Linked DNA regions of Rhinolophus ferrumequinum. The protein of the gene in region 3 purifies or fractionates together with the protein of the main gene of each other region. This does not show direct contact. Links are inferred from orthologs where the notes say so. Each region holds a gene or a part of one and is shown on either strand. Other genes may lie near its edges.

Evidence for each region.
Region 1: the proteins of RBBP4 (region 3) and EZH1 purify together in Homo sapiens (affinity purification with mass spectrometry; 4 studies listed by BioGRID and IntAct, with this or other methods). This does not show direct contact. The link is inferred for Rhinolophus ferrumequinum from reciprocal best matches to the Homo sapiens genes RBBP4 and EZH1.
Region 2: the proteins of RBBP4 (region 3) and HJURP purify together in Homo sapiens (affinity purification with mass spectrometry; 5 studies listed by BioGRID and IntAct, with this or other methods). This does not show direct contact. The link is inferred for Rhinolophus ferrumequinum from reciprocal best matches to the Homo sapiens genes RBBP4 and HJURP.
Region 4: the proteins of RBBP4 (region 3) and SMARCB1 purify together in Homo sapiens (affinity purification with mass spectrometry; 3 studies listed by BioGRID, with this or other methods). This does not show direct contact. The link is inferred for Rhinolophus ferrumequinum from reciprocal best matches to the Homo sapiens genes RBBP4 and SMARCB1.

What each region holds. Positions count from the first base shown.
Region 1 is NC_046304.1:38,410,261-38,417,543, forward strand, and holds the start of EZH1 (histone-lysine N-methyltransferase EZH1), read right to left. Parts: upstream 3,017-7,283; 5' UTR 2,967-3,016; coding exon 2,960-2,966; intron 2,544-2,959; exon of another isoform or gene 2,240-2,543; intron 2,121-2,239; exon of another isoform or gene 1,857-2,120; intron 1,832-1,856; exon of another isoform or gene 1,408-1,831; intron 1-1,407.
Region 2 is NC_046291.1:5,347,179-5,355,024, forward strand, and holds the start of HJURP (Holliday junction recognition protein), read left to right. Parts: upstream 1-4,838; 5' UTR 4,839-4,914; coding exon 4,915-5,010; intron 5,011-5,310; coding exon 5,311-5,377; intron 5,378-7,700; coding exon 7,701-7,753; intron 7,754-7,846. UniProt on the Homo sapiens protein: Centromeric protein that plays a central role in the incorporation and maintenance of histone H3-like variant CENPA at centromeres.
Region 3 is NC_046292.1:22,351,808-22,359,501, reverse strand, and holds the start of RBBP4 (histone-binding protein RBBP4), read right to left. Parts: upstream 3,001-7,694; 5' UTR 2,857-3,000; coding exon 2,841-2,856; intron 2,739-2,840; exon of another isoform or gene 2,463-2,738; intron 2,264-2,462; coding exon 2,116-2,263; intron 1-2,115. Other genes in the region: ZBTB8OS (protein archease), read left to right, coding at 3,632-3,728. UniProt on the Homo sapiens protein: Core histone-binding subunit that may target chromatin assembly factors, chromatin remodeling factors and histone deacetylases to their histone substrates in a manner that is regulated by nucleosomal DNA.
Region 4 is NC_046308.1:22,690,461-22,697,912, forward strand, and holds the start of SMARCB1 (SWI/SNF-related matrix-associated actin-dependent regulator of chromatin subfamily B member 1), read right to left. Parts: upstream 3,012-7,452; 5' UTR 2,808-3,011; coding exon 2,715-2,807; intron 1-2,714. Other genes in the region: MMP11 (stromelysin-3), read right to left, coding at 4,858-4,991, 5,942-6,199, 6,857-7,073, 7,198-7,439.

The DNA.
Region 1 (7,283 bases), on a different chromosome or scaffold from region 3:
GAAAAAACCTTACTAATAGGAAGCTGTGACCCTGACTTCTTATATAAAGTTATAGCATTAATACTGTCTAGCGTTGCTTTATGAAGAGAATCAAGTCACGTGCACTGGAGACAATGGTGATAAAAATCAAAGCAGGATTAGTTTTTAGGAGACACAAAGGAAAATGCTGGCCCTTAGGATATCCAATGCTCATTTAGAAGAGATAAAGGCCCTGTTAGGGCCCTCTCGGAACAGGCTGGAGCCCTACCTTGGTTCTGTACTAAGCTAGCATAAAGCTTAATGTTTAGAGACTGCTCATTACCAATTCAACAAAATCAAGACTTTTTAGTTGTTCCATTTTTGAATCAAAGTATTAGGGCAAGTGTGTCAGCGAACACAACACACCACAAACTCCAACTACCCATTAAGAAATTCCTAATTTTAAAGTTTGGAGCCCTGAAATCCCACTGACAGGCTGATGGACCAAAGGGGTAGGAGGAGCCCAAAACACAATTTGAACAAATTAAAAACGAAACAAAAAAAAAAGCCGAGGACTTTCTGGAATGGAGGTATTCCCTAAAAGCAGTTTTTCCCCATATACCCTCCTCTGCAATCCTAATCTAACCGGAATAATTCTCACCTTTCTCCACATGCCTTTTCGTTTTTCTCTTTAGTTTAACTACCCGATGTAGAAATGTAATGTGCTTTTAGTGTTGCTGCCTCAAACCTTTTTTGGGAAGTCGCTAGTTAACAAAGCAGAAACTTTTAAGACTTAGGCCAAGACAGAAAAAAGTTATACTACGTAACTAAATGAATTGTTACATGTTTCAGATAAAGCACAAATCAAGGGCAGGAACTGTTACCCACAGGACTAAGAAAGCCAGATTTCAGATATCAAAAACTAAACAGACAAAATTAATATTTTAAATGGTTTTTTAAAGGCGTGCTAATTCAATGGCAAGTAAGATAAGAGAAACAAGTCTGATTACATTTTCTGACCTTTTCCCTTCTCACAAAAGTCGTTTGGGGAGTAAATTTTCATTTTTTAATCCTAGGCTCCTTATTCTAGTGCTGTTTCAAAGAGAATTAAAGTAATACCATAATGAAGAGGTCATTTCAACCTCGGGGAGTTTTAAACTTGTACGTTGGCGGGCGGCCCGGTGGCTCAAGCGGTTAGAGCTCCATGCTCCTAACTCGGAAGGCTGCTGGTTCGACTCCCGCAAGGGATGGTGGGCTGTGCCCCCTGCAACTAGAAATGGCAACTAGACCTGGGGCTGAGCTGCGCCCTCCACAACTAAGACAGAAAGGACAACAACTTGACTTGGAAAAAAGTCCTGGAAGTACACACTGTTCCCCAATAAAGTCCTGTTCCCCTTCCCCAATAAAAAAAATCTTAAAAAAAAAACCCACAAAAAACAAAACTTGTACCTTGGCATCAAGTTCTTGGCATCAAGTTCCATGACTGGACTACAAGCATTCTGCCAGTTAGTAACAGAATTAGGATCCAGCCCCAGAGATCTGCCTACTATTCATGTATTCGACAAATCTGTATTGAGCACCTACTGTGTGCCTGGCACTATTTTAGGTGCTTAGGGTACATCAGTGAATAAAACAGACAAACATCCCTGCCCTGGAGAGTTAATTCACACTGTGATACACACACACTTACCATAAACCTTGACAATAATACGATCACTACATTTTTATATATGGTCCTTTCCTTTACTATAAATGTGATTTTTAAAAAGTATACATATCTTCTAACACACACTTTCTTCTATGTAAGCAAGTAAGCTCTTATCAAGGCCACATCAACCCAGCCCTGGGGATTCCAAGGCTTAAAAGGGACAAGCTCTCACAGAAACCTCTGACAGCACCTTTTCAGGCTGGAAACTTCATTCAACGCCAGTTTCCAAAACTTAAAGGCACCGGGTGGGGGATTTTTCTCTTCAAAGACGTCAGGGCAGCGAACCCGGAGGAACAGACCACACAGTGAATGCCGTCCTCCTACGCACGCAGTTTGTTCGTTCACCTCGGCTCCTTTCCTCATCCTCACCCCTCTAGCCTTAGATTACTCCGTTTACAATCTTACATTTCACCCGTAAAAACTGGCTCTCAATATTCCACCCGCGCGGCACTAACGTCCTTCCAAATCCCTTCCTCATACCCGCCCCCGAAACACTTTCTCAGTAGTCACTTTTTACCTAAATAATTTTGTCCCACTTTTCCTACGGTAACAGGCATGTCCCAAATACAACACCTTGCTTTTGCTTCACGGCGCTTTCCCTTTGATCCCCAGGAGAATCCCGGAGTGGGCAGGGGTTGGCGCGAGACCAAATTTGCAGAGCAGCAGCCTCGTAACTCAGGACTGAGGCTGGTGAGGCTCGCGGGGCGCCCAGGGCGCAAAACCTCAGGAGGATTCCGCTTGGGCTCGGTCCCGAGTGAGCGTCCCCTACACTTCGCACCTCAGGACCTCACTCACCTCACCCTAGTCCCGACCCTGTTTTTACTGACACCCTTTCCTCCACACCCCCCAAAGTCATCGCAAGCCGAGCACCCGTGTCTGGCCCTCAGGGTGCACAGCCCGAGGTCCCTGGGAGTCCACCTCGCTAAGGGCCCCCGCTGGTGCCACCGCCCACCCGCGCCCTCCATAAGCCAGGGCTCCCGCCCACCCGGCCCACCCCGCCCTCTAACGGGATTCCCCGTCCCCGGGCCCGCCCCCGCCGCTCCTCCTCCTGGACACACCGCCCTCCCGGCCTCAGAAGCGTTCTCGCCAGGGGCTCTCTCCCCTGGTCGCCCCCTTTCCCCAAGTCCTCGGAAGCGGGTGTGGGCGCCCCGCTAACCCCGGCCAGGCAGGCAGTGTGCCCCTCCGCTTCCTCCCAATTCCCTGACCCCTTTGCCTCTCCTTCTTTCAGGTCCCGGGTGGCGAGGTGCCGAGGCCCGGCCCCAAAGCCCGGCCCGGGCTTGTTTACTCACTCACCCTCCATCCCGAGCCGCAGGGACCCGCCGCTAGGACGCCTGCGCGCCGCGGCCCCGCCCCCGCGCCGCGGCCCCGCCCCGCGCCTCCACCGGCGCGTGCGCACTGCGCCGCCCGCCCTGCAGGTTGGGCCACCTGAGATTCCTTTTTCACACGTCTGTCATTTGGCACCAACACCCCCCCCTCCCCCGAACTCAGAAGTCCGAGGTGGTGCAGCCCGAGCCCGATGGTTTCCAAGGCGGCGCTATCAGGGGACAGGAAGAGCTCTTTCGAAACTTCGAGAAGCCACGAATATCTTCTTAAAGACCTTATCCAGGGTTGTACCATCCTCACATGCCGGTGACAAGGCACATCTCACTTCAGTATTTGAAGCCAACTTGGAACCCCTTCATACCGATCCCTCACACCTACCAATACCCTTAAAGACTCATATGGGCTCTAAGTAACCCTTCTTGCTTGATTTACACCTGACTCCCCCATTTCTGTCAATAGTTTTTCTAGTTACCTAGATTCAAATTAGCCTTGTATCAAAGGATCTCCTCAGAAGATACCTAGAAGTTACAAACGCAACTAACTTTACAGGAGAGAAATTTGGCAGACATCATCTTGATCAAGTGATCAACATTAACATCGCTAGTGATGAGATATTTTTATTAGATTGGGTACCTCTCAAGATGGTGCAATGAGGGCACAAAATCACATTTGTGGTATTCTTGAAAAAAACGCATAAGCTGAATTAAATCATGAGGAAACATTAGACAAATCCAAACTAAGGGGCAACCTACAAAATAACTGACCAGTATCTTCAAAAAATGGCATGATCGTGAAAGAGAAAAGGTGAGGAACTGTACCAGGTAGGGGGAGACGTGACAACTAAATGTAACGTGTGATCCTGGATTGAGTCCTGGTCCAGAAAAAGGATACCGGTGGGATAATGAAATTAGAATACAGTCCGTAGATTAGTTAATAATATTTTATCAATCTTAATTCCTGGTTTTGGCAATTATACTTCCTCAACGTTTAAGAAAGTTGGATGAATTGTCTACAGGAACTCTCTACCATTTGCATCTCTTTTGTAAATCTGAAATTATTTCAAACTATAAAGTTAAAAAATTAAAACTTAAAATACAAAGCTTTACCTTAAATTTATCTCCAACTGCCTTCTAGATCACTGCTTCTCAAAATTGGCTCACATTGAAAATAACCTGAGGAGCTTTAATAACTGATGCCTTCCTCCTACTCCCAGAGGGCCTGATTAATTGGCCTGGAGAATGCCCTGGGCTTCACCAGTTCTAAGAGCATCTCAGATAATTCCACTGTGTGACCAAGTTTGAGAACCATTATACCACATAAATAACTGTTGGGGAAAAAAAAGAACGCGCGATATCTAAGGAGAGATGTTCAGAAGATCTGAATGTCAGGACTGAGACTGGAGAGAAATCTGGGCACCATTGACATAGTGATGGTAACTAACACCATGGCAGTGGACAACATTGCTTTAGGAGAGTATGCCAAGTGACAAGAGAAGAGATACAAAGAAATGTTGCAATAAAAAAGAAAATATGGTTATAGAAATATTTTGAGGTGGAAAAGAAGAAGGAAGGTGAGGAAACTTATGTCAAAGTTGTAGATCAGAGCCCTGAAGCCCAGCTCAAGCTCCACGTCTTCATTAAGCCTTCCAGCCCTCCCGGGTCTCCCGTGCTTCAACTCTAGGACACTTTGCACTCACTACCATGCTGTATATCTTTTTCATGTCCACCACGACAACTTGGCATAGGACTAATCCTTGTTCACTGGAAGATTATAAAAACAACCTTCCACATTGCCAATAAGCATTGGGTTCTTGGGGAAATTTTGTCTGTCAACTGGTTCTTCCTCATTGTGATGAGATGGTTTTTCTGAGACCAGGCTCTTTCTTAGCTAACCATGGTCCATGCGAAACTATCAGCCAATCTTTGTTTGGCCAGCTGTTCCTCTACAACTTTTTCTTTTCCAACCCTTTAGGTCTTTGTCCTATAAATTCGTAGAAAAACTGTTGGCAAGTGGTCAGCAACTGGACCTCTGAAAAACAGTACCATTACCTCTGCCCCACTCCTTCCAGCCCCACCCCACCCCGCCAGGCAGTTAATAGGAGAAAGGAATAACTTTGTCACTCCTGGCTTCCAGTTGGTCATTTTGCTCTTAAATTGGAGGCCTTTGGGGCCGAAAGAAACTGGACAAAGTGTGCTGAGTAGCCTAATAGAGCTGGTTCTTTGTGAAAGTTCCCTAATGCGGAAAAATAAAATTATGTGTTTAATTTCTGAAACCTGATGCCTGATTTGCCTTGGCAGCCATTCTCCTGGGCTTGGCAGAGAGTCCGGCAACACTAGTATACTGATTAATACCAGCTCAGCTTGCTCCCTGGAGAAAAGTATTATTTATTTGACCATTTTCTTAAATCCTTTTTAATTTGTGTGTATTTTAGCATGATCTTATTGGCTTTAACATGTTGTATCTCTGACCACTGGCGCTAATGAACCCGTAGGGAAGACTGTTCTGCTCTGTGCGTTCACATTCCCAGCACAAAGCAAGATTTTGTTCTACCCGGTGATTAGAAACGACATGTCACGCGTTCTGTTCCTTCTGGGGCAGGCAAGTTCTAAGTGTACTTTTGTCCCGCGCTGGTCTTCAGGCCACTGATAGAAAGGGAAGGAGATAATGCTTCCCAGAATTCAAACAGAACTTTCTGCACTATTCCTTCCTCCCTGACAACCTTCCTCGCTTCCTTCCAGCCCCCTTTGGATGGTGACCCCTTGACTCATTCTGCCCCTCCCATGTAAAGCCCACAGGGATATCAAATAGCATTTCTCTGAGGGGATGCAGAGGACTGAGGAAAGGTTGGGGCCCCAGACAGTCCCTGACAGGGAAGTGTAAACACAGCTGTGGAGATGGGAGCAAACCATCCTCCCTCCCCCAGTTCCCACCCAGAAGCAAGGAAGGCCACCCTGCTGTGGGGAAACAAACAACAAAACAAAGCGAAGCACAACCTAAAAGCCTGTATAAAGATCACCAGAAACTGGGGCTGCTGCTTAGGACTTGGTGGGGCCAGCTCAAGTGCCAGACCCCTCCCTGAAGACTTAGAGGTAAAGGCAGCTCCAAAGCAAGTTGGGGCCTGGACGTTACTGAGCCTGGATACATGGCTCAATGTTTGCCTCTCCACTCCCGGACATTTTGTCCTCTGATCGCAAAAACACAGCTTTCCACCCCCAGGTACTTAGCTCCTGACCCCTAGTGGCTCAGGGATCATAATAATGCATTCGATTCAGCAAGTAACAACAGGTCCACAATAAACCCTTGTCCATGGCTGTTATAAGTTTAAACTCCGAACCTCCCAGCGAGAATATTAGAAAGGGCCTCCTTAGCCTTTGTTAATTACAAAATAAATAATTCCAGTAGGAAGGGACTTTCTTTTTTGGGGATCACTGGGGTGGGAGCTATGCCTTGCTTTGTACATACTCTGAAAGCTCCAACCCCACAGCTAGGGCGGTGCTGCCCATTTCTTGCTCTCTCGGCACAGTTAATGTAGGGCCTTGATCCCACAGTGGGACACGCCTTTGGCACGGCCCTGCCTGGGAAATAACCCTGATTGGCTGGACAGCTAATGAGCTGTGCTTCCTTTCTGGCCATCAGGCTTCTCAACTGTAAAACTGCAGAACTAGAAAAATGATAATGGCCTTCAAATACTGACCACTCATTATGTGCCTGGCAGTGTGCGTAAGTGCTTTAAAATGGGTCATCTCATGTCATATGAAGTCAATAATATTCTCATCCTCATTTTACAGCTGAGGAAACTAGGGTTTAAAGGGATTCTAGAACTGGCCCCAAATCACCCAGCTGGTAAACGGTGTGGCCAGGATTTAAGCCCAGTCATTCTGACCCCCAAACCCACGCTCTGAACCACTCTACTTGACCTCTTCCTTTCTCTGAGGTCTTCTAGCTCTGACATCATGATTCTGGATCCTCTCCATGGCTTTCTGCTCTCACCAGTGGTGCCAGAAAGAGAAATAAATGTGTTTGGGACTCAACTCCGCAAGTCCAGAAGAAAATAGCTCCTGAAAGGCAGGGGGCTCCTTACTTCCTCTGTACTGGAGATACCAATCAAAGCTGGACACTCGACAGACCGTCATATCAGCAGGAACAGCCTGTGTGGAAGACAAACAAATCCTAGCCAGACAGGAAAGGGGAGTGCCTCTTGGTTCTGTGACTTCCCCTTCTGTCTTCCCTGGCTTATCAGCAGGGTCCCATGCTTCTGATGCCATGGCCCTTTGAACCCCACTGTGGCTAGGAT
Region 2 (7,846 bases), on a different chromosome or scaffold from region 3:
ATATAAAGACATCAGTAAGTTTTTTAAAAGGAATAGAAAAGGATATACCAGTTAAACTCTAATCAAAACTAAGATGGAATGGTTATATTAATAACAGACAAATTAGACTTCAGAACAAGAATATCCGAGACAAAGAAAGACATTATAAAATGAAAAAGTGATCCATTCACTAAGAAGACATAAAAACCCTATGAGGATAACAGCAGAGTTTTATATAGGAAGCAAAAACTTGTAGCATTGAATGAAGAAATAAACAAATCCACAATTTAGTTGGAAAACTCAAAACCCTTTCCTCAGTAATTGATAGAATTCTTTTGAAAATCAATAAAGATATGAAAGGCCTGAACAACACAACCAAACAACTTGACTTCATTGACACACGACAGCAGAATACACCTTCTTTTCAAATGCACCATCACCAAGACTGACCATATTTTGGACCTTAAAAACTCCTCAACAAATATAAAAAGAGATGTAAGGAACTGGCTCACGTCATGATGGAGGCCGAGAAGTCCACGGTCAGCCCACACTGCAAGCTGGAGACCCAGGAAAGCTGGTGGTGTAGTTCCAGTCTGAGTCTGATGACCTGAGAACCAGGAGGGCTGATCGTTTAAGTCCCAGTCCAAGAGCAGGAAAAGTCCAAACTCACTCAGTCAGGCAGAGACAGCAAATTCTCCCTCCATCTTTTTGTTCTAGGAAGGCTCTCAATGCATGCAATGATGCCCACCCACCTTGGGGAGGGTAACCTGCTTTACTCAGTCTACCAATTCAAATGCTAATCTCTCTTCAAGGTAGAAGGATTAGGTATTGAAATGGGAGTTGTTTTTTTTTCTGTCAAATTCATTCAAAATTATAGAATGAAGAAAATTCATTAAAAGTTGTAAAATATATATCCCATTCAGCAACAGGAAAAAAATCTGGTATATAAGCAAGACATTTAAAATAAGAAAACAAAAAAATAAATAAAATAAGAAAACAAGTGAGAATTCCTTAAAAAAATTTTTTTTAATTCTGTACATTTTATAATAATGTTAAGAAATAATTGTGATAAATGACAGAGACACAGAAATTATTCTTATTTCTTGCAATAAGAACATTAGAAGCAATAGTGATAGGAGTTGAGTATTAAAAGGTAAAGATAGTTGAGAGAAGATGTAACACTATTACTGTAAAAGCTAATTTTAAGTAAGGACTGGATGCACCAAAACTTTTCCAAAAACACAGCAGTTGCCTTCTGTACTTTTTAAATTAACTCCAATAAGCCATGGGCGGTAAGAAGGAACTACAATGGGTTGAGGAAAGAAGAAAGGACTGGACAATCCCAGGACATTTCCAAAGTAGGTAAATTTTTTTGAAAAGTATTTTGCAAATTACCAATTAACCTGGTGCCTCCTGTTGTAAAGTTATTCACACATAATAATGGAAGAGCCGATCTTTGCTCCAGAGAAAGAGGTCCTGAGAGTTTTCAGATCCATAAATAATGGGACTGATTAAAAATAGGTCATCCAAATCTATCTAATTGCCTTCTATTTTTAATGTAAATTCTTTTCATTGATTTTTAAAATGGATAGCCCATTAAAACACATTAATCATGACCCTAAAAGTGTATCTGTAGAGCAAAAAGCCTAAGGTGAAGAATAAAAAGCAATTTCCCACCACATGAAACTGAGGCAGGAACATCACCAAAGAAAGCTGGAGCCCTACTTTTCCCAGGAAAAAAACACATTTCTGGGTAAAAGCTGGGAGGAGAGGTATCATTATGATAAAACGTTGTTCAACTGTATGACAGCGGTTTTAGAATGTCTGGAACCATGTGTGTCCTATTTAGGTAAATGGTCTCTAATTTTGTAGAGGCAAGGTAAAATACATGATCGGCTCTGCTGTGTTACATATCACATGAGAAATGCACACTCACAATCGCGGGATACAATTCATTCTAGAAAATGAAGCTAAGGAAAACTACTGGAATACTAAAACTAATCCGTCATCCAGCGATAACACCAGAAACATTTTGATAAATACATACTCGGATTGTTAAAACATACAACGCATATTTTTTAAAGGCAGATATATAATACATGTTTGTAACCTCCATTTATTCTAAGAAAAAAATCATGTTTTTGATGCCAATAAATATAATTTTTCAAAACTGTAGTTAATGGAACACAGATATGTATCACCATTTACTCAACCTTCTTTCTAGGATTGGACTTTATAAACAGTGCTTCACTAAAAATCTTACAGCTAAATCCTTGCCAACATTCTTAATTACTTAATTACTTAGGATAGATCTCAAAAAGTAGACTCAGTAAATCAAAGAATAAACATGTTTTGTGAGCTTGGACTGACACCTTTTGGAAAGTTAATTGTTTTTCAGCTATTTCACAGTCCCTTTGTTTCCATCAGCCCTAGAATGACAGAAGAAAGTGAACCCTTTTCTTGGCGGCCTAACAGATGGGGCTTAATACTTGCCACGATCTCAGACTCACGTTTTCACTGTCACATAGCGAGAAGTTTTTGTAAACGCTGGGAACGGCCCAAAGCTGTGCTTCTCCAACCACAGAGAGGTGGTGACATTTCCACACCTTGCCAACATAAAATTATGTACATGGCAATTCTATGCAGAATAAATCCTCATTTGTTATATAAAGTTGTATAAAATGCAGGCACATTTTATGAGAGCAGACATAAAATAATTCCCGCGAGAAAGATTTCCTATGTGTAATCATAATTTTAAGCAGCACTTTAAGGGGTGAAAATTCTGGCCATGCCAGCAGAGGACACTGCGCAGGCTCAGCCCGAAATGGAGATCCTGCAGCAGAGCTGACCACTTCCTCATCTCTGCTGCCCCCGGAAACCCCTTGAGACGCAGAGGGGCTACACCAGCCACTTCCACTACCAGGGAAGGAGTTCACTTGGGATCCTTCCCTGTCATATGGGGGTGAGGAGTGGTGGAAGGGGAGTTTGCATAGCAGGTCTGGGTTCCTGAGGTCACATGTTAGGCTGCTATAGGTGTCTGTGGGGGTCAGGGGAGGGTGTTTGTAGGGAATGGTGTCAAATTGGGAGCATCCTGCAGGACTCCTCCTTCCGTCGTTGGGCCATGACTTTGGCCCATGGGATGGGGAAAGCCAGTCAGAGAGGACTGGGAGGCCAGCAGGCCTAAAGAACAAGGGCCAGTGCACGTTGGTTTAGAGGGGATTGCCAAAGAGAGTATGTTTTTGGACCCTCATGCCTTCTCCTGAACCAGCATGATTCCTTAGGATAGAGGCAGGTCCTTGGACACTCAGTGAAGCCCTGGATCCTGAGAGTGGCTTTCTAGGTGTAGGAGAGCCAATTTTGAAAAGTATCACTATCTCGCTTGTTAGTCATGAAAGAGAAAGTTTTCCAAGAATTAAAAGAGACGATAAGGAAAACCCTATCCAAGATGTCAAGTCTCTAAATGTGACAGTCACGTGTTTGAAAAACAACCTGAGTGTGCCAACAGAGTGAAAGGAAAAGCAGGTAAAGTTCCTGAACACTCCCTAGAGGGAAGGAGGGGAAAAGCTCAGCTGACTCATGAAAATTGGACAGCTACAAACGGAATGTGTACCATCAGGTCCTCGTTACAGGCTGGGTTCTCCAGGTGGCAGAATGTGACAGAGTTAGTGTGCAGGATGTTAACTAGGGAGTGCCCTTCGGTTCGGCGGCTGGGAAAGAATGGAGACTGGACAGGTTGCCTCGGCAGATTCCAGGCGGAATCTGAAATAACCCTGTCTTCATATTCCCACCTGGATCAGCCGCTGGATTTGGGGCTGCACGACCGGGGGTGAGGGGTCCTCTGCACCTGAGAAGGTGCCTGCCGACAGCCACCAGCAGCTGCGGTGTCTTGAAGGCGGCTCTGGGTGGCCCATCTCTGAGTCCATTACAATACATTTTCTGGACACTCCACTACGTGAGCCCCGGAGTTCTTCTCACCTCCCTTACCCCCAATTTCTGCTGGATGGCATGAGAGGATTGGGGCGCAAGCTGAGCGAAGATGAAGAGCCCCAGCTAGGGACCTAATGGTGCTCAGTTATGCTCTTCTTATGTCACGTACTATATGGTAATTGTATCAGCATCAACACATGAATATGACTAAGTTATGAAGCTGAATAAAACTTCTCTAAAATGTACTTCGTAAACTCGACCAACCACACTCGAGGAAAGACTGCATTCTCTTTCTATACTTTAGAGAAAACATTACAACATTAATATCAACGAAGAGTCTGAGTGCGCAATAAAAATATATATACGAAAAAGGTGTACCAAGAGAATAAAAAATTATATTTTCCTGGATGCTCAAACGTTTACGATATTTCTTTCTAAACGTATGTTCCCTTTCCTGCCTCCTTTTGTATTTGTAATTTGGGGGGTCTCTTTCTTGTGCCCCTCCCCCTCCCCCCCTACCTCCCCCCCCTCCCCCCCTACCTCCCCCCCCCTCCCCCCGGCTGCTCTCGTGACAGCGCGAGGGCCCAAGGCGGGCGGGGTGGCGGAGCCGGCTCCGGGGAGGGCGCGGGGCGACGTTTGGGTGAGGGGCCGCCCCCCACTCGGCGGCGAGTCCCGGCGCAGGTCACCCGGGCATCTCCTGTGCACAACCCGGGAAATGATACGGACTTCACAGGACTCTCGCCATTAACCGGCAACCGACGGGACTACCGCGCCACTCCCGTGCGCATGTGCGGCGGCGCACCCCGCCCACTACTTCGGAGCCGAGCGGCTGCGGGAACTCCGGCGCCTATGTTTGAAAGGCCCAATCAGCGCCCAGCCTCTCAGCGCCAGCCAATGGAAAGCCCGAGGGGCGGCCAGGAAGAGCGGAGTCCCTATTTGAACTGGGGCGCGGGGCGAAGCTCCCAGTCCCGTTTCCTGCGGGAGTCGGGGTTTGGGTCTCCGCGCGCCATGAAAGACGAGGTGCTAGGGGAGGATGCACTGCTGCAGAAGCTCAGGGACAGCCGCCGCCGCTTCCAGCGTCACATGCAGCAGTTGCTAGAAAAGGTGCGGCCCCCACCGGCCCGCTGGGAGGGGCGCGAGGCCGGCGGGGAAGGGGAAGACGGCGTCGGGGACTGGGGAAAGGAGAAGAGCGGCGGGGAGGGAAGGTGGAGACAGGGTGGGGAGGCCTGGAACGGGGAAGGTGGGTTTAGGGCCTGGAGATGAGGAGAGAGGAGGCAGGATTTAGAGTGGGGGGGGGCAGGGGAAGGAGTGGGGAGGTTCCCAGACTTCCAGCCTCGTGCTGTCGCGGGTCAGTGGCTACTTGCGACCCTCGGACCTGATAGGGCGCCCCTTTCTCTCCTGCAGTACAACAAACCCTTCGAGGATGCCCCGCTGGTGCAAATGTCCACGCTTACCTACAAGACATCCACGGGTAGGAGTCATTTCCCCTTTCTGAATATTTACAGTTAAGAGTGTGAACAGAATAGTGTCTTCCTAGAGCTTGAAATGCTGTCCCTGCTCTCTTTGGAAAATAATACCTGTTCGCCTAATAGGAACTAAAACATTACGAGTTCCCTTGAACCAATAAGTTAAATTACTTCTTCCAAACAGAATTACTTATCAAAACAGAATCCTGAAGACAGATGCGTAGTGGTTAAAAATGCCCCTGCCTGGGTTGGCATCCCAGCAGGCCATAAAATAGCCGTGTCAGCTTGGACCTGTTGTTTTAGCCAGGCTATGTGTCAGTTTCTTTATCTGTAAAATGGGAGGATGATGACAAAAATATCTACTTGGTGCAAATGTGACAGTTATATATGTGAGTGCTTGTGAAGTTCTTGGAACAGTGCCCTGCGCTAGAACACTCGTATTGACTGTTATTTGTTTGACTTGGAATACTAACTGTCCTTGAGATTCTGTGTACTTGGAACTTGGCTTGAATCTAGGGAGAAAGAGCCTTTCTGTTTAATGGTTGGTGTTGCGAAATAACTTGAATCTCATGGAATCTCTTTAGTAAATAGCTGGAGAACGTTTGCACGGGGTGAAAGTTTGTCACGTCCTCCCGTTCAGCCTTATTACCAGCTCATTACTACTAATGAAAGCAAATCTCAGATTCAGTTTTGCCAAGTGTTGGACAGACAGGTACAAAGAGGTTTCATAAGACTTACTCCTTAAATGAAGACCTAGCCGTCTTCCTTCTCAGCAGACCCAGCCATACCTTGGTAGAAAAGTTTCCGCAGGCAGGACCTAAGGGATTCCAGCTGCAGGTTTCTGTTGCTCTCGCATCTACAGCAGGCGGTGACAACTCCAACCCTAGGGCAGGACCCAGGGCTCTGCAGGAATCGTGCTGACGGACTTCACTGAGCACGGGCCGTGTCTGGAATATCTTGGCCAGTTCACATGTCTTCAGTGCCACTGATTTCACCAGTGAAGACTCATTGCAGACTCCCGTTTTGATGAGAACAGTAGTTGAAGTATCTGAACACCTCGAGAGCAATTACACTTAACATGTAGAAGACCATGTGGAGAGCTTGTTAAAACACAGATTCCCGGGGCTCCTGACTGCGATGCTGGATTCAGTAGGTCTTCAGTCTAACAGGCCCCTAGCTGGTGACAGCAGAGGTCCCCTGACCTGTTGCTTAGCCTGGAGAGGCACTCGAGGAGGGAGTGGCCTGTCTGGCTAAATGCTAGCTGACCACCCTTGCAGCGGGAATGCCCACTTAGGGAGTAGACTGGAACTGACACTTCCACACAGTATGGTGAAGTCAGCACGAAAGTAACAGTGGTTCACGTGTGTTGACAGCTAAGCATGTGCTTCTAAGGGTCTCCTGTTTTTGATTCTCAACACTGTGAGGTAGGTACTGTCCTTAGAATCATCCTCATTTCCTAGCGGGTGATACAGCAGGGAGAAGTTAAGGAGCTTATCCCACGTCACTCAGCCAAAGTGACCAAACCTGGGTTTAACACCAAGAGCATTTGCTCAAGCATCACCCTGTTCTGGAAAGGCTGCATGACACAGTGGTCAGGAACACGTCACTGTCCCCAGTTCACAGCCTGGCTCCACCACGCAGGCAAGTGTCCTGGGCTAGTTACTTGACCTTCTTGCTGTGCCTCCATCTGTACAGTGAACTTGGTGAGTGCCTATCCCGGAGGGAGTTAGGAAGTCCTGTTTGAGTGACATGTGAGGGACTTTGTGTGAAGATGACATGAGGTGCACTTGGAAAGAGTTTAGAATAGAGCCTGGGACGTTGAAAGCACCGTGGAAGTTTTGCTGCCATTATCATCATTCACAACCATCTCAAGCCTTGAACCGCAACGACCTCTTCTGATTATCTGGAATCGATCTGGGAGCAAATGAAGGTTTAGGAAGAGATGAAGTGTCTGGCCCAGGCTCTGTGACTAGGAAGCGCCACGCCTCCAACGCTCAGTGTTGGTCTCTGTACTTGGGGCGTGCTCTACACGTGTGGAGACTGTCCTATTTTCATTTAGCTTTGTGGCTTCATGATGATGTTGGACCAGCAGCTGCCCCCTGGGTAGGAGAGATTTTCATTACTGACAGGTTTTTGTCTAATCTTGATTTTTTTTTTTTTTAAGACTTCAACCTCACAAAGATGAAAAACAACCAAAGATCAGAAATACAGCTTGGTTTTAATATTATAACTTTCTTTTGCCTGTCACTTTAGTTTTCTATGAATGCAGATTAAATAGACTTGGGGTTCAGGATTACTTACGTGCTAATTTTTATTCCATTTCTTCAGGATGGAGAGTTTGGGGTGGAAAAGTACTAAAGAAAAACAAAGGACAAGCCCAGGTATTTATTGTCACATTTTATTGCCACCATTCCTTGCCATGGAGGACTACTGACGGGATAAAGGTGTGGGTGAGCTGAACAGCACCAGGGGCT
Region 3 (7,694 bases):
ACATGCAAAGAATATATTCAGTTTGGAACATGTCATGTTTGGGAAGCCAATTAAGATACTCCAGAGGACACCAGTAGGCAGCTGAAAATTCAGGAAGAGCCTAGAATAGAAGTTGGCTCTAAGAGATAAGAGGAATTCCTCTGCATAGAGGTGATAGGCACCTACCGGATTCCCCCCAAAATAAGACCTACCCCGAAAATAAGCCCCAGTTAAGATTGTCAGCCAGAGAGATGCATTTAGTAGGTTGTGACGATGTTCCAGAAGATGACATGACTGTATTTGAATAAATGTAGATTGTTGTACATGAAAATATAAGACATCCCCTGAAAATACACCCTAATGCATCTTTTGGAGCAAAAATTAATATAAGACCTGGTTCTTATTTTCGGGGAAACACGGTATATCTTAAATAGAAAAAGTAGAGGAAAGAAAAGAGGGTTGTCAACATAAAACTGGGAATTCCTGCGTTTAGAAAGTTAAAGAACCAGAGGAAGTGAGGGAAGGTAGAAGAGGTTTGTAAAACTACATTTTTTAAAAAAAGGATACGAATAAACACAAAGGAAACACATACACAAATAATTAAACACTTGGCATTAGGGATGCTTACCAGCAATCCTCATCCTAAAAAAAAATTAACATTATTATGAGAATACCAAAAAAAAAAAAAAAAAAGGAGAAAGGAAAAAGTCAGGTATTTGGATCAATGTCAAACATTACAGAAAGATTTATTTACCTAGATCTGCTGAAGCAGAAAGTTACTAAAACGATAGCACAAACTTTAGCCTTGGGGAATTTAGTCCAATTCACTGCTTTCCAAACCCAGATAATCACTACATTACATGGGAAGCGTTTTAAACATATGGGTTCCAGAATAATTTCATAGGTATGGGGTAGTCATTATTCAGGAACCACTGGTCCAATATAATTCAGGACATGACTGTAAATCTGGAAACACAAACTATTTCTCATCAAGCACTCTGCCACAAGTTCCTAAATGGTTTGAATTACCATTGAGAACTCCTGACAGAAATGACTCCTTATCCTGAACTCAAGTAATTCTGATGATCAGTTGACTATGGTAACTCCCGGTCATGATCAAGTATCCAATTCTAAATTTCTAGTAACCACATTTTGCAAGTATCTTGACTTCTAAAGACCCGAGTTTGAAGGAATTTATTATTTACTACATATAAAATATAACTTTTAAATGTTTTTCTGAATAGCAAAAGTTTTATAATAGGAAATCCATTATTCCAACGGGCACACTGGTTTTGCTAAAACTTTATATTAATATCTAAATTCATCTTCATCTTTGCATTGTCACTTCCATATGGAAGCCTTTCCTGATATCCCAAGTTGAGGTAATTTTTCCTTCCTCTGATCATTTAATTCCCCCCCACCCCCGCCCACTTCCTGATCATTTAACTTTTGTCACGCTTAAATTTTTTACTGTTGTAACTTATACACATGCAGTCAAGGCGGGGAAGGTGTCTTACCTAAATTTGCATGTCCTAGGATGTGGCTCCTAGTATACTAAATATTTTATCTCCTCTATTAGAGGTAAGCTAGCCATGCTTAAGAAATATGTCATTTATCTCTCACCATGCCTAATTCCCTCATATGAAAACCATCCCACCTTCAGCTGTTAGTTCGAAGCATCCTAGGTATCTCGCTAAAACTACTCTGAGCACATATTACTACAATTATTAGTTTATACTTGCCTTCAACTAGACTGTGCTCTTTAAAGACAGGTACCATGTCATATTCATCTTTGTATTAACCAGCTACAACCAGTGACTGTGAGATTGATAGAACTGTACTCATCATAATACTTTCTGAAAACTGACAAGTTTTTATATTACTATTCGGTCCACTACGGTTATAATACGGCTATTCAATTCAGTAACAGAAAAAGAAAACAGCATGTTCTCTCTTATCAGGAAAATTACAAAGTAATTTTACATTGCCTACTTTTTGACCTAGAAAAAATGTCACCAATAGGTTTTGATCACGTGCCCTCTTCGGATGAATGTAGAAAGGAAAATAGGGAAAAATCAAAGTGAGACATCTACACCGAGGATACACCAAAATAACGTTCAGGAGATTCATTATCACCTGGTTACATCTGGAAGCCACTGCGCAGTTAAGCTGGGCCACTCCAGAGCATGGGTCATCACCAAATCGTAAAGAAAAGGGGTGTTCTTTTTCCATATTTTATACTCTTCGTTGATCACACGTTCTTCTACTGCGTCATCAAAGGCTGCTAAAAAATTAAAAACAAATGAAGTTAGCGAACATAATGGGAACCGAGTAAACACTTCCAAAGCTAACGGCACGGCTGCCGAGTCCTGATATGGAGCTCATCTGTCTAAATTACCCCTAGGAGGAGGCACCAACACGCTCTACATCTTTGCGGGTCGGAACTAATCTCAAGTCAGGTCGGCCAGACACTCCGTTAGCCGTTCGCGCGACGGCGCAGAGCCTCGGGGGCACGGACCCCTACGCCTCAAGTCTACCCAAAAGGCGAGGAGGCCCGAGCAGCGACCCTCGGGGATAGAGAGCGGTGCAGGGCGGACTGGGAGAGAGACGGACAAACCGACAGTGAACGTGAGGAGGGACCAAACACCCGCCAGGGCCCCCACCGCCAGCTTCACGCCGCTGCACCGGGCCTCCGCTCCAGAGAAGCTGGTGGGCCGTTATCCCGCCCCGCGGGGCGATTTCGTCTCACGCCTTCGATGGTGGGGATGGCACTCAGCAGAGTGGGGCCTGCCCTCACTGTTAGGCCATGTCGAAGCCGCGGCGCAAGCCCGGTACCACCCGCTTTCCTGAGGTAGCCTCACCTTCCTTGTCGGCCATGGCGGGCAGGCAAGCCAGGGGGATCCCGGGGTCGAGCGTTGCGGGAGGGGAGGGGAGGCTACGGGCGCTCGCTCTGCGCGCGCGGCCTCTATTGTTTCCTGCTGTCCCTGCGTGAGGGCGACTCGCGCACCTTCGCGCCAACACTGGCCAATCGGAGCGCACCGAACGGCGAGGTGGGCGGTGAATCCTCGTTCGCAACCTATCCAGACGCGCGGAGTCACTATCCGCGGGGCCGAGGCGCGCGCTCCGCTCCTGCCCCCCACGGCCCGGAGCTGACTTCCTTCGATTGAGCGCGCGCGCGCGGCGTTGGTGGGAGTGCGCCCGCCAGGGTCACGTGAGAGGCATAGTCCGCTCCCTCTTCGCGGCAGCCATTTTCTTAAAGGCTGTTCAGGGGATCACTTAAAAGTGCTCGGATGGGAAACTTAGGATGCTTTCGGGTCTAGTTATCAACTGAGGCGGCAAGTACAGGCCTCAATCACTCAGACCTAGAGGTGTCTAATTCACGTGTCCTTTACTCCCGGGTTCTCCAATTTGTTTCCTTACTCCTTAGATCATTGATGAAGTAAGCGTAGAAAATGGGGCCCCGGCTTTTTAAAAATGTGCTCCAAGTAGCGAAGCCTAACACGAAAGTCGTGGGGATAAAGTACGTTGGCGATAATGGAGTCCTGGTCCTTTAAGAGTACGTGCCAAGGGGTGGAGTCTAGAACGGAAGTTGTAAATCAGGGCCGAGGTCCGGCTGTTGAAGGGCGGAAGTAGAGTGTCCAATGCTGCAATCATGGCGCAGGAGGAGGAAGATGTTAGAGATTACAATTTGACTGAGGAGCAGAAGGCGACCAAGGCCAAGTATCCTCCAGTCAATCAGAAGTACGAGTGTGAGTAGGTGGCTCACTTCTCTTCTCTCTCCCAGAGGGACTTACGGCCTCGCTGTCCACTTTTTCGCATAGGGTACTTCAGGCGTGATCCCTTTTCTCCTTGTGGTGTAATTTCATTTGTACTTGGGGAATGCTGAAGAAAAAATCACCTCATCTGAGATTCGAGAGACCTGGGCTCCCAGTTTTATAGTCTCTTGAACTTTTTCCATATATGCCTAATCACATTTGTCTTGTGGGGATTCTGCTAGTATATTAATTCTGAACATAACCATGTTTTCAAGCGTTTGCGTGATTGTCACCCCCGTGTATCTCCAACAGTGGGATAGCGTGTGGCTAGATTAGAAAACTCGGGAAGCTAAGTAAGGGCCTTCTAATTTGGTGTTTTACTTGGATCTGTTAGTAAAATGACTTGGTTTTGCCATTTATTAGCTTAGTGACTTAGGCAAATCGTACATCTTCTCTTTGCATTTTATTTCCTTCATCTGAGGAAGAAATGAGATAATAAATTTGAAAGTATAGTGCGCATTCCTAAGTTCTATATAAACGTTATGCTCTCATCCCTAAAGGTCGCTGTGGTTTGGGGAACACAAATCGGACTGACTTCCCTGCTTAAAAATCTTCATTAATTTCCCATTGTCCTCTGTATAGAGACCAACTATTTACCAGAACATACTATACTCTGTACTGTCTGGACCCCGCATATATCTCCCTAACTCATTTTTCTCTCACTTAAAAACAATTTTTAAAAAAATTATTTAATAGGTAGTATATATAATTCAAAATTCAAAATGTAGAACAGGTGTGCAGTGAAAAGTAAGTTTTTCTTTCAACCCTCATCCCAAGCCACCTAGTCTTCCTCACTAGATCAGTCATCTTTACCATTTTCTTATGTGTACATGCAAAGATGTTATAGCATTTGCTTTATTTAACCAATTTCCAGTTGATGGACATTTGTGATATCTGTATTCTTTTGCAATTAGACACAATGCAGCAGTGAATATACTTGCACATCCATTGTTTTGTACATGTATTTGTACAAGTGTTTTTGTAGAAGAAATTTCTAAAAGTTAACATTGTTTTGTTAAAGGATATGGGCATTTTTAACTTCGAAGTTATTGCCAAATTGCTCTCCATTGAGGTTGTGCCAATTTATACACTCACTAGCATTGTATGAGTGTGCTTCTTCACACTTACCAATTTACTGTTTCACCATACTTTTTGGTCTTTTCCAGTTTGTTAAGTATCTTGTCATATTAATTGCATTTTTCTTATTATAAGTGAGGTTGAACATATTTTAGTAAGTTTGGAGCTATTTGTATTTCCTCTTCAGGGATGTGTATATTCATATATTTAACCCATTTTTCTGTTGGGTTGTTAGTCTTTTTTACTATGCAGAAACTTATGTAGTGAAATGTGTTAACACTTTTTATGACTTCTGGGATGTTATACATAGGAAGGCCTTACCCACTCTGAGATTGTAAAATAATTCTCTATTTATTGAAGTATAATATACGTAGAGAAGAGTTTACATATCATAAGTGAATTTTCACAAACTGAATACACCTGTATAAATAGTAACCAGATAGATAAACAGAATAGTACAGCATCCCAGAAGCCTCTCTCATGTTCCTTTCTAATCACCACCACTCTACTACTTCTCCATTAACCTGACTTCTAACATCGTAAATTAGCTATGCCTGTTTTTGTACATTATGTAAATGAATTATTGTGTATTCCTTTTGTGTTCAACTTTTTTTGCTCATATTTGTCAGAACTCATATTTTTGCTGATAGTTATAGATTGTTCCTTTTTTAAGAAAATTTTTATAAGTTTATTTGAACCAAAACTGACAACAGTTTCAGGAAAGCAAACATCTTAAATGCTCCTGGGTTATAGATTGTTCTTGCTTCTAGTATTTATGTTTGTTTGCTTTTTAACATTTAAATCTCAAATAGGTCAGGATTAGGGTAAGATAAAAATTAAGTATCTGATTTAATTATTTTCCAGATGACTTATGAGATGTTCTCACATTATTTATTCAACAATCTCTTTCCCCCTGTGATTGAAATTCCATAACTTTATCATATACAGAATTTCCCTACCTATATTTAGGTCTGTAGATAGACTTACTTTGGTCAGTGTTGCTCAAGCAGTAGTTGGCTGTAACCAGAAGTGTCTGGACGCTGATGGTAACCACTTTGAGCACCTCTTGTAATTGCAGAAGTCAAACGTGACTTGTATTCATCTTTTTTTATTGGTATATATTGAGTATTACAATTTTAATACAGTTTTTTCCTTTCTTAAAATGTGTATACATTTTTTGGCACTCTCTGTATATGTATATTTATTATACCACAAAAACATTCAGCAAAAAGCAGCAGTTAAGAATGAGATAAAACATAAACAATAGTTTAACTATTGTGCAGAGAAAACCTTTTGGCTCAAAAATCCTGTTAATATTTTTATGTTATTCTTCATGATTACATCTATGGAGATGACTATATACTTATATAAATTACATGAATCAATTTCCTAGTAACTGAATCTTTGCATTCCAGGAATAAACCCTACTTGTTCATACTGGATTCTGCTTGCCAACATTTTGTACAGAATCGTGTCGATGTAATGTTAGAGTAGTCTGTATTTTCTTCCAGCTTCATTTCTTGCCACTGACCACCCCAGTTCTACCACAGGTTTCCCTTGTTAAAAAAGCAACATTCAACTGAGCAAATTTGAAGACCTATTTGGCTTTCTTAAACATTTCAGCATCCCATCTAGCAAATAGAAGGGAGCTGTGAGAAGTTGTACAAAATAGAAGGTTTTTTTATAGGCAGAAACTGGCATGACAAAGTTATTAGCAAAAGAAAAGAAAAGAAAGGTTTGTTTCAGGCGGGGGAATCTTTCTTTGGGGGAAAGGTGGCACGGTCTTGTCAGGCAGATTACTTCACTAGTGTTGATCAGGAAATTCCATACTGATTGGTTTGAGGTCACATTCCTGGGTAAGGCTGAAATTACCCAGTTTGCTGTCCTAGAGGCAAGGGATTTCACCTTGGGCCTGTTTTTTTGTTTTAAACACCCTGTTGGCCTGGTTTTCCTTTCCGACTCAGATGTCATTTCATTTATTCATTCAGCAATGTATTTGAGAACTGGTTGTGTATCAGTTACTGAGCAGAAATTGGGAATAAAAGAATGAGCAAACAGATATAGATCACCCTTATTCTCTTGGCACTTAAAGTGTTAAGTATTGTTTCTTTTAGGAATTCTTACCTGAACCTCTTAGTCTAGGTTACCTTTATCTCTTATGCTCTCCTGTAAAAGCAGTTTTCAAAGTGTGGTCTGTAGACACCTGGGGTTCCCTAGACCCTGTCAGAGGATCTGTGATGTAAAAGCACTTTCATAATGATACTGAGACGTGCTCTTTTCACTGTGATGATGTTTACATTCCTGGTGCAAAAGCAATGGTAGGTAAAACACCATGCTCCTTAGCACAAATTGAGGTACTAGCACCAAACTGTACTGGTAGCTGTTGTATTCTTTACCACCATAAAATTAATTTAAAAAAGAAAAAGTCATTTTTACTTAAAAATGTTCTTCATGAATCGGTAAGAACTATTAATTTTATTAAATCTTGACTATTGAGTACAGACTTTTAAAATGTTCTTTGTAACAAAATGGGAAGTCTGTACAGAGTGTTTCTGCTGCGTGTCAAAGTATTGATGATTACATTGAGAGAAAGAACTTGTATAATTGAGTTGTGAGCTGCTTTTTTCCCACAGAACATCAATTTTTCTCAAAAGAATGATTAAAGACATACCATTGTTATTCAGACTTGAGTATTTGGCAGATATTCTCTTGAAAATAAAGTGATCTGTCACATCACTTTGGAAAATAACACTTTGTTGGCAATGGTAAAATTCAAGCTTTCAAGTGAAATTAGAATTTTGGAAAACTTGTGTCTGCTGTCAT
Region 4 (7,452 bases), on a different chromosome or scaffold from region 3:
AACAATAGCTTCAGTTTGCTTGAACCAAATACTCAAAGTATGACTTCCTTAATGGAAAGAAAAAAAATCTCGTCCTAAAGTTTTTTATAAAGAAACCTCATTGTCTCACTGACTTTTCCAAAATGACCATGTGAATCACAGGGCAGGAGACAGCCAGTTGACTGGGTGCCAGGTGATGTCTCCACCTGTGACCAGGAATCACTTCCCCAGTCTGGCTCTCCTTACTCATCTGTCAAATGCACAGCAACTTTGAAGTTGACCACACAAAGGACCACTTCTATTATTGTCCCATTTACCTACGCAACATAGTATACTTATTTAATAAAAATATTTCTCCATTTTTCATGAATCAAAGATTTCCATGATCGACAACCAGAGCTGCTGAACAGCGTGAGAGGTGACCATAGCCAGTCAATCGTGCTCCACACAGAAGGCACAGACCCCTGTCGGTTATTTGGCTTGAGTGTCATTACCATCCAAGGGTAAACGTATAGTTTCCATTAGGTTTTGAAAAGACATTAACAATAGTGTCCCCCACTACTACCTTGAAGGTCCTGGGGAGCTCCGGGACTCCTAGAGCCTTCCCAAGGCCCCTTCAGAATAGAGGAGACCAGGGTTTGCCTTCCTGGGTTTTCCCTGAACCAGTTTTTGCCTGAAATGAAGGTTGGACTTGGGGATACCCTAGGTCCTCTCAGGTCTATGACTCTGGCTTGGTGAATGCAGCTACCTGCAGATGGCGGGAGAACAGTCACACACACTTACTGCAACTGCGGATGTCTTCCCAAAGCCACTCCACGGCACTGGGTGTGATGCTATGGCTGGCCCACCTCTCTGAGTGGCCTGTTGCCCAAAGGGAAGGGGCCTGGGGGCCGTGCACCCAATGCTATCACAGGAACGACTGGACATCAATAGACAGCATTCTGATCTTGAACCTTTCCCAGACCTCCAAAAGTCTGACAATTGTTAAGCCAAGCTCCAGAAAGCAAACCTCCTCTCCCTTCTCCCATCTAGGTCTCTACTGGCTCGGTCGCAGGACAATGGTCTCACTCAACAGGGCTGAAAGAGAAGACTGCAGATAACTTTCTAGAAGCTAAAATGTGTTACAGAGAAAATCTCAGAGGTCATCTAGTCTAAGCATCTCATTATACACATGAGAAAAGTGACAAGGAGGCAGAACAGAGCTGGAACCAGGCCTCCTGACTTCTTCCCACCTGGCTGCATGCTTCTTCTCAATTTGCTCCACCTAATAAATGAAAGCTTGCTTTTCAGAGGTACCACATACTCAGAATCGAAACCAAATTGATTGCTTTTCTTGCCCATTAGACCAGGTAAAGATTTATTTAAACGATCTGCCCATTATCACGTACTAAAACTCAGCTGTCTTCTATATCCTGCACTTAGGCTGATGAGGACCATTCTGAGCCACGGCAGATAGACACGCACTGACTCCACTTCCCCAGCATGGCTATCTTTGAAGAGCAGCATTTACGGGATAATGTGAAAAAATTATTGCATCCTGCCCTTTTTGTTTAATAAAAATTGGTGAAAAATGGTAACACTCAAGTTCTGATGCTGACAATGTTGGCCTCATAATTTGATATAACTGGCCAGGAATCACAGGGTGATTGCCTCAGTGTGACCATCATGAGGCGTAATTCATTCACGCTATGATCAGCTGTGAAGAAAAACAACAAAAATTGTAAAATCAGGAATGAAATGTTGGTGTCTGATACTTTAAAGTACTACAGGGAAAGGCAGCGCTTGGCATTTTGGGACTTATTTAGCTCTCCAAGATTAGCACTTACCTCATTACATGAGAGACTCTACTGCTTGGTATATGCACATCTGAGTTATATATCCATAATTAAAAAAAAAAAAAAGGAGTATACACTACCTGGGGATGGCCTTTAGACCCAAAGGGGCTAGTTTGAGGCAATCTGCAAAAACTTAATATACTTAGTACAAACTACCATTGAAAAGTTTTCCTCCTGTCAGTGGTCCAGCTGATTCAACAAAGTGCTATCAGTTCTAGTTCAGGATTAAAAATCTTTAGGCTCTTTCTCCTGTAATAATTCAGTTAGTCCAAGATATCCACAGTGTCAATTGCTTCTGAATTGTTGAGAGCTAGCTCAGGACCTGGGGCCTTATCCACCCAAATGAAATAGGATGGCCTTATCCACCCAAAAGCAAATATTCTCCTCCCAACCTATTTCCTCCCTGGTAAACAAAGATCAAAACACCTCCTGCCCACCTCAAAGGCAACGAACACAATGAGGATGAGCCCTCACTAAGCCCCATGTTTACAACCGGCGATTTCAGGATCCCAGATGTAGCAATGGGGGAGGGGCGCACGTGATATTTCCAACATTATCACCCCCAACGGGGTGTTTCGCAGGGGCTAACCGTAACACCCAGTTTGTCTGCGTCTGTCTGGAGTTGTACCAACTCAGCACGAAACCAGCAGCCCCTCGGGGAGCCCTAGTTCTGGCGACAGGGTACGTTCCCACCACCACAAAATGGCTAAGTAAACCCAGAATCGCAGAGGAGCGCGGGGCGGGGCCTGCCGGCCACGCCCTGCTAAGCCACATCCCGTCGCGCGTGCGCGCGCACCCCCTCGCCGCGATGAATGGAGACGCGCGTTCCCGACGCGCAGACCTGCCCTGAGGCTCCCGCGGGGCCGGGGCCCGGGAGGGCGAGGACGCGCCGCGGGCTACCTCAGAGCCGATCATGTAGAACTCGCCGTCGTCCTCTAGCTGGAACTTGACGGGCTTCTGCCCGAAGGTCTTGCTCAGCGCCATCATCATCATTGCGGCGGTGGAGGCAGGCAGCCAAAGCCGGGCTGCGAGGGATCGGGAGGGCTGAGGCGGCGCTGGGGCGTGCCAAGTCGAGGGAGCCGAAGTCGGGAAGCAAAGGGCGGTCCGGGCCAAGTACTCGCGCCGCCGCGGCCGCCGCCGGGCTCCTCAGCAGCCGCAGCGACGACGACCAGGCCTCCCTCTGTGCGCATGCGCGGGCGTTGACGCCGACGCGCGCGCTACCGCCACCCAAACAAAAGGCCAAGGCGCGCTCCCGTGGGTCCCTTAAAGGAGCCTAAATCCGTTTCTCTTCCTCCCAGGCTTCCTCCCAAGTCTCGGTACCAAGGAAGACTTCTCAGGTGGAAATAGCAATCGAGGCCCTGACTCAGGCGTTGGCGTTCCCAGTCCTACAGCTAGGACTGGAACTCAACGCAATGGAAGAGGAACAAAGTGAGCTCTGCAGGGTGTGAGGAGGCCAGTAGTAGGTGTGCCTCAGTTTCCCCACCCTGAAAAAACGGTGCAGTTGAGCAGATAAGAGGACTCCTAGATATCCCAATTCTCGGCCCGCAGCTGTTCCTGCAGCTGTAGGAATGGGCAGAACGACAACACAGGGCGGTGTTAGCATGGGCCAAGACTACACGGCTTGGCAGGATTCCAATCTGGGTGGTATTTGGTTTGGCTGGTGCGTCAGATGAGTGTTGGAAGGGAGGGAACCTTCTCCATTCCGTCCTTAACTCTGCACTTTGTACGGACAACAAGCCGAGCCCTGCAGTGCAACTAGAGAGCCCTGCCCTGTGGGAGTGGGGAATGACATTAATGAAAGCATCAAAGCATCCACGTTTCCCGTTGAACAATGCAGTAGGTCAAAACCGGCCCACAGCTGCCGATTTCATATAAATTTCGAATAAAAATTGCAGCTGTAAAGGAGATACACCGGGCTGGGTGGCAGGCAAGGAGACACTTGTTAGGAAGCGTCAGCTGTTGTAAACATGAGTTTTGTTCTGTATCCTGACGACAACGGGATAGGGGCTGGGCCTGGAAGATCAGATAAAGTGACCACTGCTTAGGGGAGGATGATCTGAGGGGCAAGCCGGGGAAGCAGGGAACCAAGTACGAAGGCACTACACGCATCTAGACAGACGAGATGGAGGAATGGGGCAGGAGGGGCCCTACACAGAGTACCCAGCGCCAAAGACCAGAGACTTGGGGGTGGGGTGGACTGCCACCCTGGTTCCGAGGACAGAACAGGTCCCAAGCCGGGTCTCCCACTTCCCTGGTACAGCTCCCATCCTAGACTCACAATCACAGAGACACCCCAGGCAGGCAGGTAGAAAATGACTGTTTAATGACAGTTCTCCGTAAAAAAAAAAAAGAAAGAAAATGCTTTGTACACACTGTACACACATTTACATGGCTTTGGAGGGTCTCAGTGCTGGGATGAAGGCTGGAGAGGATTCGGCCCATGACAGGATTGAGGTATGTTGGGGCCTCCAGGGCCCTGGGTCTCCAGCAGTGAGCACCCCTGTCCCCAGATGACTCTAGACCTTCTGGCCTGGATCTTGGGGAACAGATCTCCAGGATCACCAACTGAAGGCAGCCAGTTCCAAGCACCTACCCAGAAATGACTTCTCAGGGAAGGGCAGAAGGCTACGTGGCCCCGGGATCCATGTGCCAGCACCCTGCAGGGACCTCATATCAGGGACAGAGCAAGGGCTCCAGCTCCCTCAGCCCTGCTGAGGTCCTTTCCTGAGGGACGAAGATGGAGAGCGAAGGCAGCCGGGTTTGACCGTGACCTGCACAGGTAGGGTGGAACCGGTCCAAGACCACCCTCACCCTTGATGCCAAAGCCTCCCTGCTCAGTCTGAGACAGTTGCTGGCAGGTGACCACGACCTGCGTGGCCCTTCCTGCACTTGTCATGGTGGGAGCCACCCCTCCCCACCCCCCTGAGGAGCCACAGGCTCTGTCCTATGCCTGGTGCTCACAGCCACAAAGATGGCCATGGGTCTCTAGGCAACGTCAGTGGCCTGGCAGGGGTGAGGGGCCCTGAGGGCATCCAAGCAGTGGTTAGTGGAAAGTGTTGGCAGGCTCTGTACAGCCAAAGAAGTCGGGGCCCACGAGGCGGGGAAAGCCCTCCAGGGCCTTCACCTTCACTGGGTCAAACTTCCAGTAGAGGAGGCCACGCAGGAAGTAGGCGTAACCTGAGGAGAGAAGAGGGTCAGGCCTGGGTGAGTGGACACCGGGCCTCTCACCTGCTCACCAGGCTATGCCTAGGGATGGGCACGGGGAGGTCCGGGTGGGCAGGCTTGGCCACCACTGAGTTCCTTGAAACCTGCAGGCCTTAGGACGGCCCTTCCAGAAGCTCCATTCCCTTGGGGGAGTCCTGCCCAGAGTCTGGACTAGGCTACGACCCAGCCTGACAGCTGCTGAGAGCCTCAGACGTCCAATTCCAACATCTCAGGAAGGCAAGTCCTGTTTCCCTCTTCACCCCTCCCTCTACCTCACTTTATTCCCACACCCACCAGCCAGATACCGATGGGTATCTTGAGTTATGGAGGGTGATAGAGGCAACCTGGAGCCCCAGAGCCTGAGACCACCACAGGACAGCTTTCCCAGCAGGTCCCAGTGTGGGAAAGCACAGAAGCAAAGGGGGAAGGGGGCACAGGTGAGGGCAATGGACTATGAGTCCCCAGTCTAGTCCTTGGAGATTATAGGAGGCTGGACAGCTCAGCAGGGACTGCCTGGGTGGGGGTTCCTGGTTACCCACTATCCACTTGGGTGGCCCTGGCTAGGGACCTCATCACCTGAATCTGTTTGCTCTTCTGCAAACTGGGTTCCTAACAGGTGCTACGTCAGAGAATTGCATGAGACAGGTAGGGAGCTTAGGTGCCGGGAGCATTGTCAGTCGTGTGTGCAGTGGTTATTATTTTACCAGCCATGGCTGGGGCCTGGGCAAGTCCTTGCTCCTGTCTGGGCCTCAAGCTCCTCATCTACAACATGGAAGGTATAACCGAGCGCTGGTACAAGGAGGAGGCTGGATGGGGAGGGGGCTGGACAAAGGCCCTGTGACGAAGAGCTGACATCCAGCCACCACAGGGAGGAAGACGCACCTGCTACACCCCTTCCACCAGCTGCCCTATCACCAACGCACCGTCAGCATCCTGGAAGGCGGCGTCAATCTCAGGGGGTACCCCTCGCCAATCGGTTGCCCGGCGGGGCACGGGGCTGTCCACACGGCGGGTGCTGGGGTGGAAGCGCCAGTAGTCTCCGCCTCGGAAGAAGTAGATCTTGTTCTTCTCAGGGCCCCAGACCAAGGCTGCGTGGACCGGGGACCCTGGCAGGCCCAGCTCAGAGAGGGAGGCGGGCCCCAGGACTGGCTTCTCACCATCGTACACCCAGTACTGAGCGCCTGTGGAGAGGGGAGGCTGCAATGGCCCTGCCCAGCTGCCACCACCACCAGGACTTTCCCAGCCTCAGTTTCCTTATCCTGCTTGGCGCCCCCACCCCAGGGGAAGTTGGAGCCAACAGGGATAAGCTGGGGCAGTACAGGCTCTGGAAGGTACCACGTAGAAAGGTAATTCTCAGCAGCAGAGAGGCACCTGGGCTCCCACTCCTTCCCCGGGCATTTGACTGCTCACCACCCCCTGGGGCTCAGCCCTGGTCCCTGCCACAGGTCTTAGGTGGACCCTTGTTTATGAAGTCCCTGCCACCTGGAATGCTCCCTAATGCAGTTGTAAGTTAACAGCACAGGCTTTACAGTCGCCAGACCTAGATCAAATCCCTGCTCTGCCTTTTTCAAGTTATACCCTCAGGTGAGTCACTTCACCACCTGAGCTGGAGGCCAATGTGTGACCCACTGTGCAGTACTTTCTATTCTACTCCCACCTTGAGAGCCATTGCCTTCAGAAGTCTCCCAGCTGTGCCCAGAGGAATGAGCCTTGTTCTCCCGTGGCCCCAAGCTTTCAGGGCACCCTCTACCTGCCTATATTTGTCTGTCTGTCCCTACCCCTGGCCATGACATTCCAGGCTCCTGGAAATCTGAGCATGACCCCCTGCCCCCACTCACCCTTGAAGAACCAGATGTGGCCCTGGGCATCCTCGAAGGCTGCATCAACGGGGCTGGGGAGTCCCTGCCAGTGGCGAGAGGCCAGCGCAGGGTAGCCAGGCTGCAGCCGGCCCCCGCGTAGCCGCCACACAAAGCCCGCCTTGAAGAAGAAGAGCTCCCCACGGATGGTGGAGACCGCATCAAAGGAGATCTCGCAGGCATCTGGTGGGGCTTCCGGCTGGGGCAGGGGAGGTGGGGGAGAGGGCCGGGAAAGAGCCCACATTGGAGCCACAGAGGCCAGTCAGGTGGGGGTAGCTGGGGCAGGGCCTCACCTCCTGTCTTCCCACCCTCCTGTGCCTCACCTCCAGTGGTGCAATCTCGTTGGTGTCCACTCCAGCCTGGGGGTCCAGGGCTGGGGGCTTAGAAGAGGGGGCCGGCCGGGGCCGGCCATATAGGTGCTGAATGCCCCTTCGGTCATCTGGGCTGAGGCTTGGCGGGTAGCGGAAGGTGTAGAAAGGAGACATAAGGGCCTTTGCAGCCGTGGTGTGCTGTAGCCCGAGCGCATGGCCAAATTCATGGGCTGCCACCTGCAGGAGGTCTGTACCTGGAAAAGGGAG